Linked DNA regions of Oreochromis niloticus. The protein of the gene in region 1 purifies or fractionates together with the protein of each later gene. This does not show direct contact. Links are inferred from orthologs where the notes say so. Each region holds a gene or a part of one and is shown in the gene's direction. Other genes may lie near its edges.

The links.
Region 2: the proteins of fbxo36a (region 1) and skp1 purify together in Homo sapiens (affinity purification with mass spectrometry; 3 studies listed by BioGRID and IntAct, with this or other methods). This does not show direct contact. The link is inferred for Oreochromis niloticus from reciprocal best matches to the Homo sapiens genes FBXO36 and SKP1.

Annotation. Positions count from the first base shown.
Region 1 is NC_031979.2:12,417,533-12,424,141, reverse strand, and holds fbxo36a (F-box only protein 36a), read left to right. Parts: upstream 1-4,035; 5' UTR 4,036-4,097; coding exon 4,098-4,193; intron 4,194-4,527; coding exon 4,528-4,636; intron 4,637-4,795; coding exon 4,796-4,968; intron 4,969-5,104; coding exon 5,105-5,251; 3' UTR 5,252-5,969; downstream 5,970-6,609. Other genes in the region: E3 ubiquitin-protein ligase TRIP12, read right to left, coding at 326-423. UniProt on the Homo sapiens protein: Substrate-recognition component of the SCF (SKP1-CUL1-F-box protein)-type E3 ubiquitin ligase complex.
Region 2 is NC_031975.2:22,837,492-22,845,190, reverse strand, and holds the start of skp1 (S-phase kinase-associated protein 1), read left to right. Parts: upstream 1-4,513; 5' UTR 4,514-4,669; intron 4,670-5,311; 5' UTR 5,312-5,314; coding exon 5,315-5,411; intron 5,412-5,557; coding exon 5,558-5,631; intron 5,632-7,022; coding exon 7,023-7,166; intron 7,167-7,699. UniProt on the Homo sapiens protein: Essential component of the SCF (SKP1-CUL1-F-box protein) ubiquitin ligase complex, which mediates the ubiquitination of proteins involved in cell cycle progression, signal transduction and transcription.

The DNA of each region.
Region 1 (6,609 bases):
TGCCTGTCTCCATCTGCATATAATCTGGCCATTATCACGTCTGGAGATTCATGAAAAATAAAGCTAAAAGAGGTTTAATCACCGACTATGACAAAAGAACAAAGATAAGCTTTTCCTTTGATTACATAGGACAATTTTACCATTCAGCAAGTTAAAATACCAATTAACTACAAAGACACACAACCCAAATACAAATTCCCCTCTACGAAACATCATTTCATCTATTGCTCTTTAAAGAAAGGTTCAACAACTGCTGCCCACAAACTACGGCTGCCTTTTAAAAATTCTTATTTTAACTGGACAGTAAGGATGCAGGTAGACTCACCTTCCAGCGACTGTGTGGTCTTGTGGCTGGGCCGCAGCAGTGTTCCTCTGTGAACGGCGCAGTGACCCCCCTGGATTGGAATTAGGCCGGTTGGACATTGGCACCTCTCTCCTGAAGGGACATACCCTTTCTAGACACTACCATTCACTGTAATAAAGGGAAAAAAAGAGACCACAAAAGAACATTAACAAAATACAAAGACCACCCTTAAACCTGCACCCTCTCACCACCACCACTACCAAGTTGTCTGTGGTTTAAAATAAGCTGCCGTCTATTGAGATTGCATATCACTGAACTACAGGTTCACCCCTTTGACCCCTTTGAGATGATCAGTGGCAAAACTTTCTCAAGATTGTACATGAAGATGCAACATCTGGGTGGGGGCTGGCAGCAACACCACATGCCAGTAACTACATCCCCTCATAGCTGAAAATCAAAAACAGGGAACTAAAAACTTTTAAAGACTTAATGCTAACTATATTACTATGACCCAATATGATCTGTTAAAAATAAATAAATCATAGCACAGAGCACAGTTCGTGTTCCTAATCTCTCAATAACAGTCACAACAAAATGTATACTTCTCTGAATAACATTCAGTAAAATACAGCAATGCCATTAACATTAAACCTTACTGCAAATATCAAATTTTACTGAAATGTTTGAGTTTTTCCCCCCACACAGTGCACCATGAATATAAAGCTATCACCAAACACCCTACTTACGCACAGTATAATACATTTTTACACATTGGTACCTTTAAATCTTTGGCAGAACGCACTACTGGAACTTTTTCACATAATTAAAATCATCAAAAGGATCATTTTACAATTTTCTTACAACAGCAAAAGATTCCTTTGTGTATTATTAACCAAGGTCACAGCCTAATTAAAATAAACACACAATGCGGTAGACTACAAATTAATTCTTTTTTGGTTTCAGTTTAAGTCCTAAACTAACTGCCAACAGCAATTATGCTTCAAAATGACTACAACATTGTATAAAATTTACATATCTGATCCAGTGTGCTTAGTGTTAGGGGTACAGTACAATCTTAACGGTTTAATTGATCAGAATAGTACAGAAGTTTTCTTTTTAACATTAGAAGTGAATGTATATATCTAACTCACAGGAGTCAATAAAGTGACAGTACTAATAAGACAATTGATTAACTTGATCTAAACACATACAGGAAGAGGATTTCATTATTTGCTAGACAAAAACCATTGAATCCCTAAATAAATATTTTTTAATTTATTTTCAAGAGTATCTGACTATTTAAGTCACAGTTTAAACTATGATATCACGGATACTGATGATAAAAATACGCCACACTTGCCAAGCTCACTGGGCCATGTTAGGCCTGCACTGACAGTGCATCCTAGTCTTTGTTATTCGTCCATTCTGACAACTGGTGTTCCCCACTCGAGTATAATGTATTAGTTAAGCTCATCAAATGATTTACAGCCTCACATAGACCATCGACCCAGTTTATCTTACCACGTAACTAAAACAAGAACTGAAGTGTCCGATTTTTTATACCCATGATTTACAGAGGCCTATATTTCTGACGTAGTTGTCTACCACCACCGACTAACGCTAGCATGTTTAGCCACTTAATATCCTAGCAAGCCCCATACATTTTAACAATACCTCCATCGTATCGATTTATTTATACATAAAAGCTTCACACATCCAAAAGCGAAGCTTGTGGCGTTTACATCGTGAATCTAAAAAAGAGAAGACGCTAGAAGACTTGCTAACTGCAGACCAGCAGTTAGTTAAAGTTACGCTGGCTAACGTAGCAAAGGTTACACTGAAATGCGTAGTTGGCGTGCCGGTGTGTCAACCTATTCAGCTAGTACCCTAGCCAAACAAATTGTCACATTTGAGAAGCTAGCTTGTTTGTGTTACGAAACGACATAATGCTTACTAAATGGCAAAGACGCCCCTCCAACTGGCGAATAACGATCGGGTTCATCCGAGACTAGCTTCACGTCGAAAAAAGGCAACATCGACAAAACCCGTCTTTCGACAGCGGTTTAATGTAATAAAGCTAGCAGGCTACAAGTAAACTAAAGCAAGCTAAGTTGGCAGTCGGATTGCCAGGACACACAGCTCTGTGTGTGTACGCGGTCGGGGCTGACAATCAAGTTTAGAGAAAAGAGAAATACGTTTGTGTTTCGTAAGCAAGCTCACCGTCTACGATTGATGGGGGTAAATAAATCCAAAATACACAACTGTCACCTAGACAGGTAACGACGTCGATACAGTTCTACACTCTCCTTGCAACTGTCAGCGCGAATTGTTATGTACAGATAGACTAACTAATGTTGGTAAGCTATAAGGATGGCTAACAATATTTTCTGAGCTGACTTAAGGCCAGTGCCTCCCTCTCACTACTACAGCGCTGGCTAGCCTGTTAGCTACTGTTAGCCAGGAAGACAAGTTGACCACTAACAAACAGCGTGCCAGCACAGCGCATGGTTCTTGTTAAGACTTGGGTAAATGGGACACATAACGCCAAACATCTCATTCAACTACCGTTAAAGTATCTTGCTCAGAATTCAAAGCGTCACGGCTAGGTTATCATTAGCAAGCTAATACTAGCCTAGCCACAGCGAGGGTTTCTTCAATGACCGTTCTCTCGCAAACAGTAAGCTGACAAAAAAAAAAAAATAAACAGCCGGCTATTGGCTTTAAAAGACCTCGCTGTTTTCAATTAAGCTGGGCGCCGAGGTGACACCACATTACTAACCCCGTCGAGACCGAATTAGCAGCTACAGGACTGTCACGCAGCTTACGATGTTTAATCAAACAAGAGCGTTATAGCTGTTACCAGCTAACCTTGGCATGCCAGCTAATTAACATTAGCGAGCCCTGTTGTCGCTGGCTAACATTTTGCCAGCTCGACAGGATGGTTAAAAGGATTTGTGTTGAAAACAGCGTTTTTAGCAACACCGCACCAATTCAGTGTTTATGATACAGTTTTGATCAAAATTTCCCCAACATTAACAAGTTGTCTAGCTAGCAGTTAGCAAGTAAACGCTAACTAGCAAAAAGAAATGGCCCCTGATACCTTTTAGACACACAAAAAAACAGGAAAGCAGGAACGGGATTCGAGTTATTTTCGCAACACCCATTCCTCCGATGTATTTCGAGGTTGAATACTGTCAAAATCCCAAAAGACTACAGGTTTAAATGTCAGTGAAAATGTCTACCTTTTGGTATAATGTTGTTACCTATTTGTTCCAGTGTTGTAGTTGTAACAGACAGTGCACCAGCTCCTCTTTTCTCTCTACCACTGCTAGTTTCACATCAGCTGAGGGGCCTACAACCGCAATATACCTCCGCGTGATTCATCCGCTCCGGGACTAGTTTGCTCCTTATTTTCTGTGTCTGCTTGCTTTAAGTCAACAAAGCGAGCGCGAGCACTGGATCGGCTGCTCTTTCGAAACAAAGCTACGGGTTTCTAATGAAGACAACTGAACTATTTTTGTAGACATCCAGAGACAGTCGCTGAATCACTGAAGTCATTGGTAACATTAGCTTGTCACAAATATTAAGTATCAATCCGCTGGGTCGTGACCCTCCTCCTCCCCCCTTCAACAGACATATATGAAACAAGCATATCTGTAAAATTATATGTCCCGCATAACTTTTTATTATTACCTAACATCAATGATAAAGCAATCGGTCCGTTTCATGAGTCGTTGTGCAAAGACAGTTTTAGTTGCTTTTCAGTTGTCATGGCAACAGATTTGCGTCCAAAATGGCGTCTTTGCTTGGGGAGAGACTGTTTGAAATTAGTGGTCAGGGTCCGCCACCTCCAAAGGATTTTTTTCAACTTGTCATTACCAAAAACGAGGTTACGTATTAGGACGTCTTTCTTTATATAACAGACTTTCGAGGAGTAACTGTATAAAGCGTGCTAATAAAAAAATCACTCTACTTGAGGCTAGCTTAATTTTCTTAGCTTTAAATATGGCTTTGCTACTATTTTCTATTTTGCATGCTTAACCAATAGCAAGCTATTTGTTAAATAGCAAGCTATTTGTTAAGCAAGATTTGTTAGTAAGATGTTTTAATAAAATCATTCGCCCTGTTCCAGTAGCATATCGGCATCTTGTAGCCACTACTTCAAGAGTGTCTCCTGGATTAAAGTCTTGAAGTCCCATCTTTGTTTTTCCCTCTAAATTTAGGTAATACTAACCTCATGGAGGATTTCTTTGCGACTTGAATGCAGAGGTCTTCCCCCAAAGCAGCAGAGGACATCTCATCAGGACTTCCAAAATGATACAACTCTACAGTGTAAGTTTTCCTCATCGAAATCATCACTCCCCTTCCATGAAGTTCTTGATACTAGTCTTTTCTAACCTATTTCTGAATCTTGTTTGGGTTTATAATTTGACATCGAAACTTTTCAAGGATCTAACTGCAGGGCTGTGTTTGTCGACTTATCATCTGCAGATGAAGTCGGTGCTGTTTTTGGGCAAAGGATCCTGGATTACACAACAGCACTCTGTCAAGGAAAGTTTGATTACCTGGAGCGTTTACCTGATGACATCATGCTCCGAATCATGTACTGCCTTGAGCTGAAAGATGTGGCACTGCTGGCACAGACGTCACGCAGATTCAAAACGGTGAGGACAATGGTAAAGTACTGGATTTGTTCGATGATACAGAAATAATGCTTTAGTGTCTATTGTGTTTTCCTTGTGTTCAAATTCATTTGTGTTCACGTGTATGTTGTGCTGTGCTCTAACCGGATTGTACCAGCTCTTCAGCTCTGAGAAGTTTTGGGAGCAGACTGTGAGGACCTGCACTGGGTTTAACAGGGACGTTGAGGACATAGCCAATGCCATGGGCTGGAAGAGCACCTTTCTAACCTTTTTCCACAACAGTGATGATAAAAAACAGCAGTAAAACATATATTTAAAAACAAACACTTTTATTATTGTTCCAAAACAAGTAAAATCACACTGGCTCATTAGCAAACTAAAAAAGACTTCAGTAATGAATGAGGGCTTTTGTGTGTGTGTGTGTGTGTGTGTCTGTGAAAAATGTGAATATTCTCCAAAGCAAATCAGTACTTTTGCATTACAAAGGAAAGTCTTGCTTACAAGTTTTGTTTTGTTTCAAAGAGTGTGCGTTGTGTAAGATTCCTTGTAAATGACATTAAATTGGCACTTTGTGTCTGGATGACAACCTGGGGAAATTAAAACGTAAACAGACTTACAGAAAAATACGTAAGCAACTGAAGTCCTGCTGACATCATGTCATACTTCCTGTTTACATTTGCTGGTGAACTGCTGGCTGCGCCCTCTGCTGAAAGCCCTCAACCAGCCTCCGCTGTCTTTGCATACACAAGGCAGCCTGGCTTTATGTGGGATCACTGAAGCAGCCAGCAGAGGGAGCAATGTCACAATGAAAACGTCAAAATGAGTCAGATGACAGGAGGAGGAGGAGGGGGGAAATCAAGTATGTAAAGGTAACGTGTGCAAAACAAGTGCTGTAGTTCTGGTTACCATATCAAGGCCTAAAAGACTCCAACTTACTTATTCTGGATTAAAAGCTTGTGCATATGCGTGTGTAAGGGCATCTGACACAGCGGTCCTACCTACCTCTCCTGAAACCTGTACCAGCAAGCTACAGTAACATATGACAAAGGTACGCATTGTTTTTCTCTGTTTACAGGTACTTTTAGAATCAGAGCTGGCATGTTATAGTGAATGTTAAAAGAATAACATAATACAGTCCTATTGTCATGTAAGAATGCCAAAAAAAAGAAACAAAACCTAAGTAAGCCTTGTGTTATAACAAAAAGAAGAACACGTGTTAAACTGCAGGTAGTTTTCCATAAATGACCGCGCCTCCCTGCAATATCAAATATTTCTGTGGCCAAATGATAGCTGTGTGCCGGAGTGATCTGACATGACAGCATACAGCCCTGAATGGTGGGTACCATGGCCTATTATTAGCCCCTGACACCGCCTTCTCAGCTGAGTCTGGTCTAGGAAAAATATTCATTACGTAACAATAAAGAATCTGTCTCCCAGACCCACTTCCCGAATACCACAGCAACAGCTAGGCCTCACTCTGAGGCACAGAGACATCAGCCACATCCATTTGATTACTGGCGTGGTGTAGGGCTGTGTGGGTTTTTTCATGCTTATCCATTTACTGCACACATTCACAACACCACCCCTCCTTCTCAGTTCCTCTTTGTGGGTCAGTGATGCAGCGGGAGTGACGCAGCAGTAGCAGCAGCCTCCAGAAGGCAA
Region 2 (7,699 bases), on another chromosome or scaffold:
CACTACAGATGTTTCTTTTTTTTTCCTCTTTTTTTCTTCCCAACCAAAGTTCTACACACAGGAACAAGAAACCTTGTGTAACTTTTTTTTTTTTTTTTTTAATTAATTAATTTTTTTGCTTTTTGTTTTGTTTTTTGCAGTCACACAGCTTGGTGTTTAAGATTACATGGAGTGTTCATCCACTTCAGCTCACTGACTCCCTCTGAGCTACAGCATCTGTATTAACCGAACAATTTTATTAATAAAGACGAAGGTGGCTTCTTGATGTGAATATGCTGTTGTTTTTTTGTTTGTTTGTTTGTCCTCATATAAAACAGTGTTATGGTTTGAATTACACTGTCCTTGCATTGTCCTGGGATTAAATTTCAATTTACATTGATGCCAAAATTTACCACAATTTAGCATTTTTCCCAGCGATGAATTTCAAGTATGAACCCGGTTATTTTATTTTTTTTTAATCTCTTTTATGTCTTAGGAATACTAGTTAGAAGTATTTTACTTATGATGTCAAGAACTTTATCCCATATTTGGTGAATTATTTTTGTTATAGCAATTTAAGTGATGATGCAAAGCCAATAATAAAATCTGGCAGATGCCTCTCGGCCAGATATCACTGTTTTATAGAAGGTGATAGCATGTGGCTAAGACTTCCTATGGCTGTGCTTGTCTCAGCAGAGCTGAAACAGTCTGTTAGAGAAGGTGGTCAAGATCCTCCATGATGGTTTGCTCTCCACCAGTGCTTCAAAAGTGTCCAGTTTGCTGCTAATCACAGAGCTAGCCTTGCCAGGCAGTTAATTTACTCAGTTGGTATCTCTTCTCTAAAGCTGCTGCTCCCCCAGTCGACCACAGTACAGTGAACGGCAGTCACTACATCTCAGTGATAGAAAATCTTCATTATTTTGCTGCATGCATTGAATTTTGAGGAAACCAAGCTTGACCACTCCACAAATTATGAGGTGAAATCTCAAAGAACATTAATAACCCCAAAGATAAGTGATCTTTTATGAACAAGGATGCTTATAGAACTGATACATTACAATTTATAAAATTTTGATTGTATCTGACTCTTTTTTTTTTTTTAAATTAAAGTTTTTAGCTGTCATAACACCCACTGTGCATTTTTTGTGTGTGTCCTACTGCAGCTAAAGTGCTGTGATGACTTACTATTTTGAAATTAAGTGGCATCAATTCAAGGATGACTTTCAATGAGCACTTGAACGCACCATGGAAACCGCTTGAGAGGATCCGTAATAGGGGAAAAGCGCCATCCAATGGTAGCTCCAAATACTACAATAAACGCTGCTGTTTGATAAACAACACATGCAGGGGTATAATTTTGGAAATTACTGTATGAAACAAGGCTTATTTAATATAATCTAGCCCAAGTGAATCTTGCATTCATATTTAAGATAGCATTTAGAATATATAACAGAATTTATGGTATTGCCCAGATTTATAAACAATTCCTTAAAGTCATTCAAATGATTAAAGAAATGATGAGGCATAGTTTTAGCTTGAAAAGCTGAGAAATTCCTTTGTGTTTAACCCAGTTATTATAACAAACTATAAACAATATAGCTGAACTGATTAGAATAGTATATAGCTCCATACATCCATCAAGCCATTCTTTTCTGCTTATCCAGCAACGGACAGTGAAGAAAAGAGTACACAGGGGGGAGCAGGTGGTTACATGATTTGGGAACGGTGACCCTAAAAAAGAGAGGAGGCCTAGCTGGAGGTGGCAGAGCTGAAGATGTTCAAATTTTTATTTGGGAGTGAGCAGGATGGACAGAATTAGAAATTGGTACATCACAGGGACAGTTTAGGTTGAGCAGTTTGGAGATAAAGTTAGAGAGGCGAAGCCGAGATTGTTTGGACATGTGCAGAGAAGACAGAGTTGATATACAGGACAAAGAATGATGAATAGGGAGCTCCCAGGCAGCAGCAGAAGAGCAAGACCACAGACAAGGAAGAAAAACAGAGGGTTTTTCTGACAGGACAGGATACTGGGGTGATGATGGAGATGATGCTCAGCAGATTGTTAAAGGGAACAACCAGAAGAAAAAGATTTTAATTACACAGCAATGTTAAACATCTCAAATGTTTGAGACTTTGCTAGATTGTCTTAGTAAAAAAACAGTCTTGCAAAGGTAGGACAGCATTAAAGTGGGCCAATGTACACTTTAACCCCCACCCAGCGTGGAGAGGCATCCAAGCCCTCTCCAACTACATGGCCAGAGCCCTCCAACCCTCAACAGCAGCCTCAAACTTGCAGAGGAACTCAACACCTTCTTTACTCAGTTTGAGACCACCAGTTGTCTTGCTGGTGGTCAGACAACAATCTGAAGCTGAGAGTCCTTAAAACAAAAGAACTCATAATGGACTTCAAGAGGCACAGACAAGTCCATTGCCCTCTCATTATAAATGGAGAACGGGTTGAATCTGTCTTCATCTTCAGGTTTCTGGGCACCCACATCTCTGCTGATCTCACCTACAGCCACAACACTGACATCCTGGAAAAGAAGGCCCAGCAGCGGCTGCACTTCCTCCTTTAGTTACACCCTTTTTATACACGCTCTTTATTACTCTGTAATATTCTTGTCAATCTTCTTAATATTTATTTATAATCACCTCTATTAATCCTTGATATTTATAATTGAGGGATCTGTATATATTAGTGCTATTTCTTAAATGTGTAAAATCTGTAACATAATGTATTGTTTGGAGTTTAGTCTGTTACTGTTACTATTTTTACCATTTCTTCTTGGAGCAACTGTAACCCACATCATTTCCTTAGGGATTATAAAGTATTCTGATTCTGATTGTTTCAGGATGACCTGCCATTATCCAATGACACATCTGCTTACCTGTATCTTTTGCTCGTTTCTCCTCCTCTTCTTTTCTCTTTTTTCTAAACTGAGCATGGCTTTGAACTTTTCTTGTCCATCTTCCATTGGTTTTAATCTTGCACTCCAGTATAAACACCCATCCCCGAACCCGAGGATCACCACAAGATAACCTAACAAACCTACACCTTAGTTCACAGAGTCACTTTGTCTAGGGTTTATTTCTGGGATTTCGCACAACCCAGGATTCAAATCATGAATACATAATGGGCTTGGATTTACAACATGATGAATGACATGTGTGCTATTTGGAAGCAGCCGGCCCCCTCCCCTTTCGACAGGTTGTGTGTGAGACTTCAAATCTTAAAACTGTAAATTATAAATTGTTATTGATCCCTTTACCCCGAGTCCTAAAGTGTATATTTATTTTCTTGCTCTTCTTATATTTATTGTTTGTTTACTTGCACTGCTGTAACTGGAGCCTCGTCGTCTCGTCTCTCTATATACTGGACTGTATGTAGCGGAGATGACAATAAAGTTTACTTTGACTTCAGCAGCAAGCAGGCGCACAGAGGGCTCTCGCGCTCACTTTTCGCGTATAGAATTTCGAAAAAACATCGGTGCAAATTATGTCTGGTGTTTTCGTGTTTGTTGGTTTGTTCTTATTTTGTTTTATTTTGCAAGTTGGTTATTAGATGCTGCTCCAGCCAGCCAGAGACTCCCCCGCCGCCCCGCCCTCTCCTCCCTGTGCCGCAAGCAGCAGGCGCACCTCGCAAACGGAGGGCGCCCTTACTCCCCGCAAATGGGCGAGGGAAAACTGATCGGTGCCTATGACATTCACAAAATGCGCTGGCATGACGTCGGTGGCAGCATGAGTACAGCAATTTTGTATTTATTTTTTTTGCCGATGCCCGTGATGCCGCCCCCCACCACGATGCCGCCCCGGGCAACCGCCCGTGTCGCCCGTATCAAAAACCGCTACTGTCAGCCAGGATAACCTGGAACAGAAGCTACTGCTGGCTTTCTACTGCTCCTCAGTGGAGAGCGTGCTCTCCTACTGCCTGGGTAGGCAGAGGCCACAACTGAGAACATGAAGGCTGCCCAGAGGGTAATTAACACCACCCAAAATATAATTGGCTGCCCTCTGCCACCCCTGGGGACCATCACTAGCTCCTCCTGTCTAAGGAAAACCAAGACAGGTGACCCCTTGCACCCCGCTCACCACCTGTTTGACCTGCTGCTCTCTGGTCGTTGCCTCAGATCAATGGAGGCCACACCTCCAGACTCCCAAACAGCTTCTTCCCCTGGGTCATTCGGACTGTCAACAAACACTATCTCTCTAATGTGTGAGTTTTGTATATTGTTTTGTATACATTCCCTCTTGGCTGTATATATTTCTCCTGTTTGCTTTTTATTCTTGCTGTCCGCCACAGTTGGTGTGGAGCACCCACGATTTCGTTGTACACGTACAATGACACGTGTGGTGGCTATCCTGTTCTATGCTAATATACGGGAAAAAAGTGTGCAAACCTAACATGCCTATCACATTATACATATATCTTGGAATAATTTAAGAGACTTCGGATATTTCAGAATACCAAAGGCAGAATGACCCTGAGATTATCAGTCAAAGAAGGGTGGATAATTTGAGCCCATACTTAACCCCTCCCCTACGAGAAAAAGACGCCGGAAGGTAGGCTCAGGCTTCTTCTTAGGTTGGTCCAGAGACTACCACCGGTTGTCTGTGTCTGCGTGTTTGTCGGGTGCTGCTGCTGCTGACTACAGAGGAAATTGACCTCTGGATTATCGTTAAAACAGTCACGGTACGTAGCTTAGTTAGCCCAGGTTGAGTTTTGCAGCTTGGAATGAACTGCTCTTTGTTTAATTTTGCTTGTGTCTTTATTTGAATAGCCTCGCTGTGGCGGCTAAGAGGCCTCAACTAATGTCGACACTAGGTGTTAGCTTAGCTAGAACATTGTGCATGGTAACGCTAGCTTCCTGGTTAGCCTAAATATTAACCGATAACATTAAAATATTATGGTTGAACAAAAAACAGAGAAGCCAGCTTTTATGTGTTTTAAGTAATAACACGCATCACCTTCAGTTGTATATAAACTGTATTCAAATAAAAGGTTGCTGCTCGACTAGCATTGCCGCTGTTTAGCCCGTGTCGTCGGTAGCTAATCGTTGGTTAGCTTGAGGTAAGCTTTAACGTTTGTTTTGAGTTAATTTTTCTAATACTAAGGTCCGCACAGGTAATTTTATTTATTTATGTAGTGGGATATTATTCCCGTATTCGGCTAATAATCATATAAACTGTCTTTCTTGCGATAGCTGACAAATTAACTCCCAGACGTAGAATAGCAGTTGCTAATGCGTGTTTACTACTAAGGGTCGTAAGTTTGTTTTCAGAAGTGTTGTCTCCTTGCAGAGGCGTTTAATATCTTAATGTGTTGCCTTTATAGATAATGCCCACAATAAAACTACAGAGTTCTGATGGGGAAATCTTCGAGGTGGACGTTGAGATAGCCAAACAGTCTGTCACCATTAAGACCATGCTTGAAGGTAAGTGTTGAATCGCGTTAAACGTTTAGGTTTTCAATTCACAACTGACCTAAATGGGAAACCCCACAGTTCACAAATATATTGTTTATACTTCACTTAATTAAACCATAATTTGGACAAATGTGTAATGTTTGAATCTTTGACAGACTTGGGAATGGATGATGAAGGAGATGATGATCCAGTTCCCCTTCCTAACGTGAATGCTGCCATCCTCAAGAAGGTACAAAATGCACATATTGCAGTGTCCAGTGGGTTTTTTGTTCACACACAGACTGTGTGGGTGGTGTTTGTTGGATGTGGGAGGGGTTGATTCCTTGTTTCCTGAGATGCTATTAACTAATTGCGTTCATCTCGCCTGGTCTGGAGAAGGGTTATGGTTTAGATCCATGGTTCCCAAATGGTGTATGTTGTGAGGCAAATGCCCTGGAGTTTTCTTACAACCTTTGTTTATTATAATATGAACAAGTGAGGAATGAGCTGCTTATTTACTTTATCAGCAGACCTACTTGGTACACACTCATTTCCCATACATAGGCAAATTATATTTACAAAAGTGTAAGGTGGAACCCAGCCTGTTGTGTGGCCTGACACAAAGCCTGACAAGAAGGAAGATGACAATTTGAGATGGGGAGTGAATGACTTTCTTTGGTAAAGTAAGTAAACACTGGTCCACAGATTTAAAATGAATAAATGTCCGAAGACAGCAGTATTAAAGCTAACTCTCGTGGCTTCAGGTGGTCCGGGTTGGCAGAAATTGTTTGGCCATATAATCATTTGCTAATCGAAAAAAGAATTTGGAAGAAGAGGCCATAGAATCTGTGTGCCTTGAATTTTTTGGCTTTGCTCGTGGTTGTAGTTGGGAGGCAAATATAAATCAAAGCCTGTGATGGTGTCCTCGACGATGATGTAGACTTCTGTATATGGTGAGAGGGTCTAAGCAGAGATCGTAAGAAGTGGCAAAGAGTGGTACTTTGTGTCCTATGGGTAAGCTCGCCTAAGAATTTGAATTGGGTTTGGTTGTCTTCCCCTTATAGTTTTAACATTTTAGCACTGCCAGGCTAAAGCTGAAATAATAAGCTGAAATGATCTTCTATGCCAGTCAATCAAAATGCATCTTAGAAGCACATTGTAATAATCTAGGAAACTTGTGTTATAGCTGGACAGTGTAACAGTGTTATAGCTGGAAAGAGCTGCTGATGTATTTTCTGAGGGTAATGTGCTCAGATGTGGTTCAGAGTTTCAACAAAATCTGAACATCAAAGTTTTGAAGGTGGACCTGGAAAAATGGACAAAATGCGATTGTTTCTCATCCTGTTTTAGCTTTTATTTTCATGCCAGCAAATCATCTAATCACATTTTTGGCAACAGACAAGTCCTGATTTTTTTTTTTTTTTTTCTTTCTCCTTACTACTCATTTCTACACTTCCTTACAAGGAGGTAACGACCTGGAATCTGTGTGACTTGATCCTAATTTGTGGCAAATAATTGCCATTTAATTTTGGTATTCAAACCTTTTATGGGCAGTTTTAACACAGCTGATGGGTGCTGTGCATAACGGGTTACCTTGGTTAAAACCATGTGTTTATTTGTTATTTTCTTTTTCTTTTTCAGGTCATTCAGTGGTGCACTCATCACAAAGATGACCCTCCTCCTCCTGAGGACGATGAGAACAAGGAGAAAAGGACAGATGACATCCCTGTATGGGATCAGGAGTTCCTCAAAGTGGACCAAGGCACCTTGTTTGAACTCATTCTGGTAAACATACTTGCATTATTTTGCATTTTCTTTGGATTGAATTACAACTAACAGGTGTAAGCAAAACCCTGCCCTATACCTAACCTTAACAGCAACACCTGCACATGGTTGATTATCATATCATTACATATGGATCTTACTGAGTTATCTATATTTGTATTGAAGCAGTTTTAATAGAAAAAGGACTTTTTTAAAACAAAAGAAAACAAAAATAGTGGTTAACAGATGCTCGGTTAAACTGCAGGCCTGTCAGTGGTGTCCCTGCAGTTAGCTACAGTGAAGTATCCCTTCCTTTCTTTGCAGTGACTGTCACATAATCCCACTGATGTGTCTGTCACTTAATCCTCCTCCTCCGAGCTCTGAGCTGCTGCACTTCACCCAACTTTTTTCTTTTTTACTTTTTATTTTATTTATGTCCTCCACAATTGCTACCCACTGCTTCTTTCCTGGTGCCTGTCTTAAGCCAGTTTTTGGTGATGGCCTTCTTTGCTGCAGAAAGGAGAATTTTAGCCAAGTAATGGTCCTTTACATGT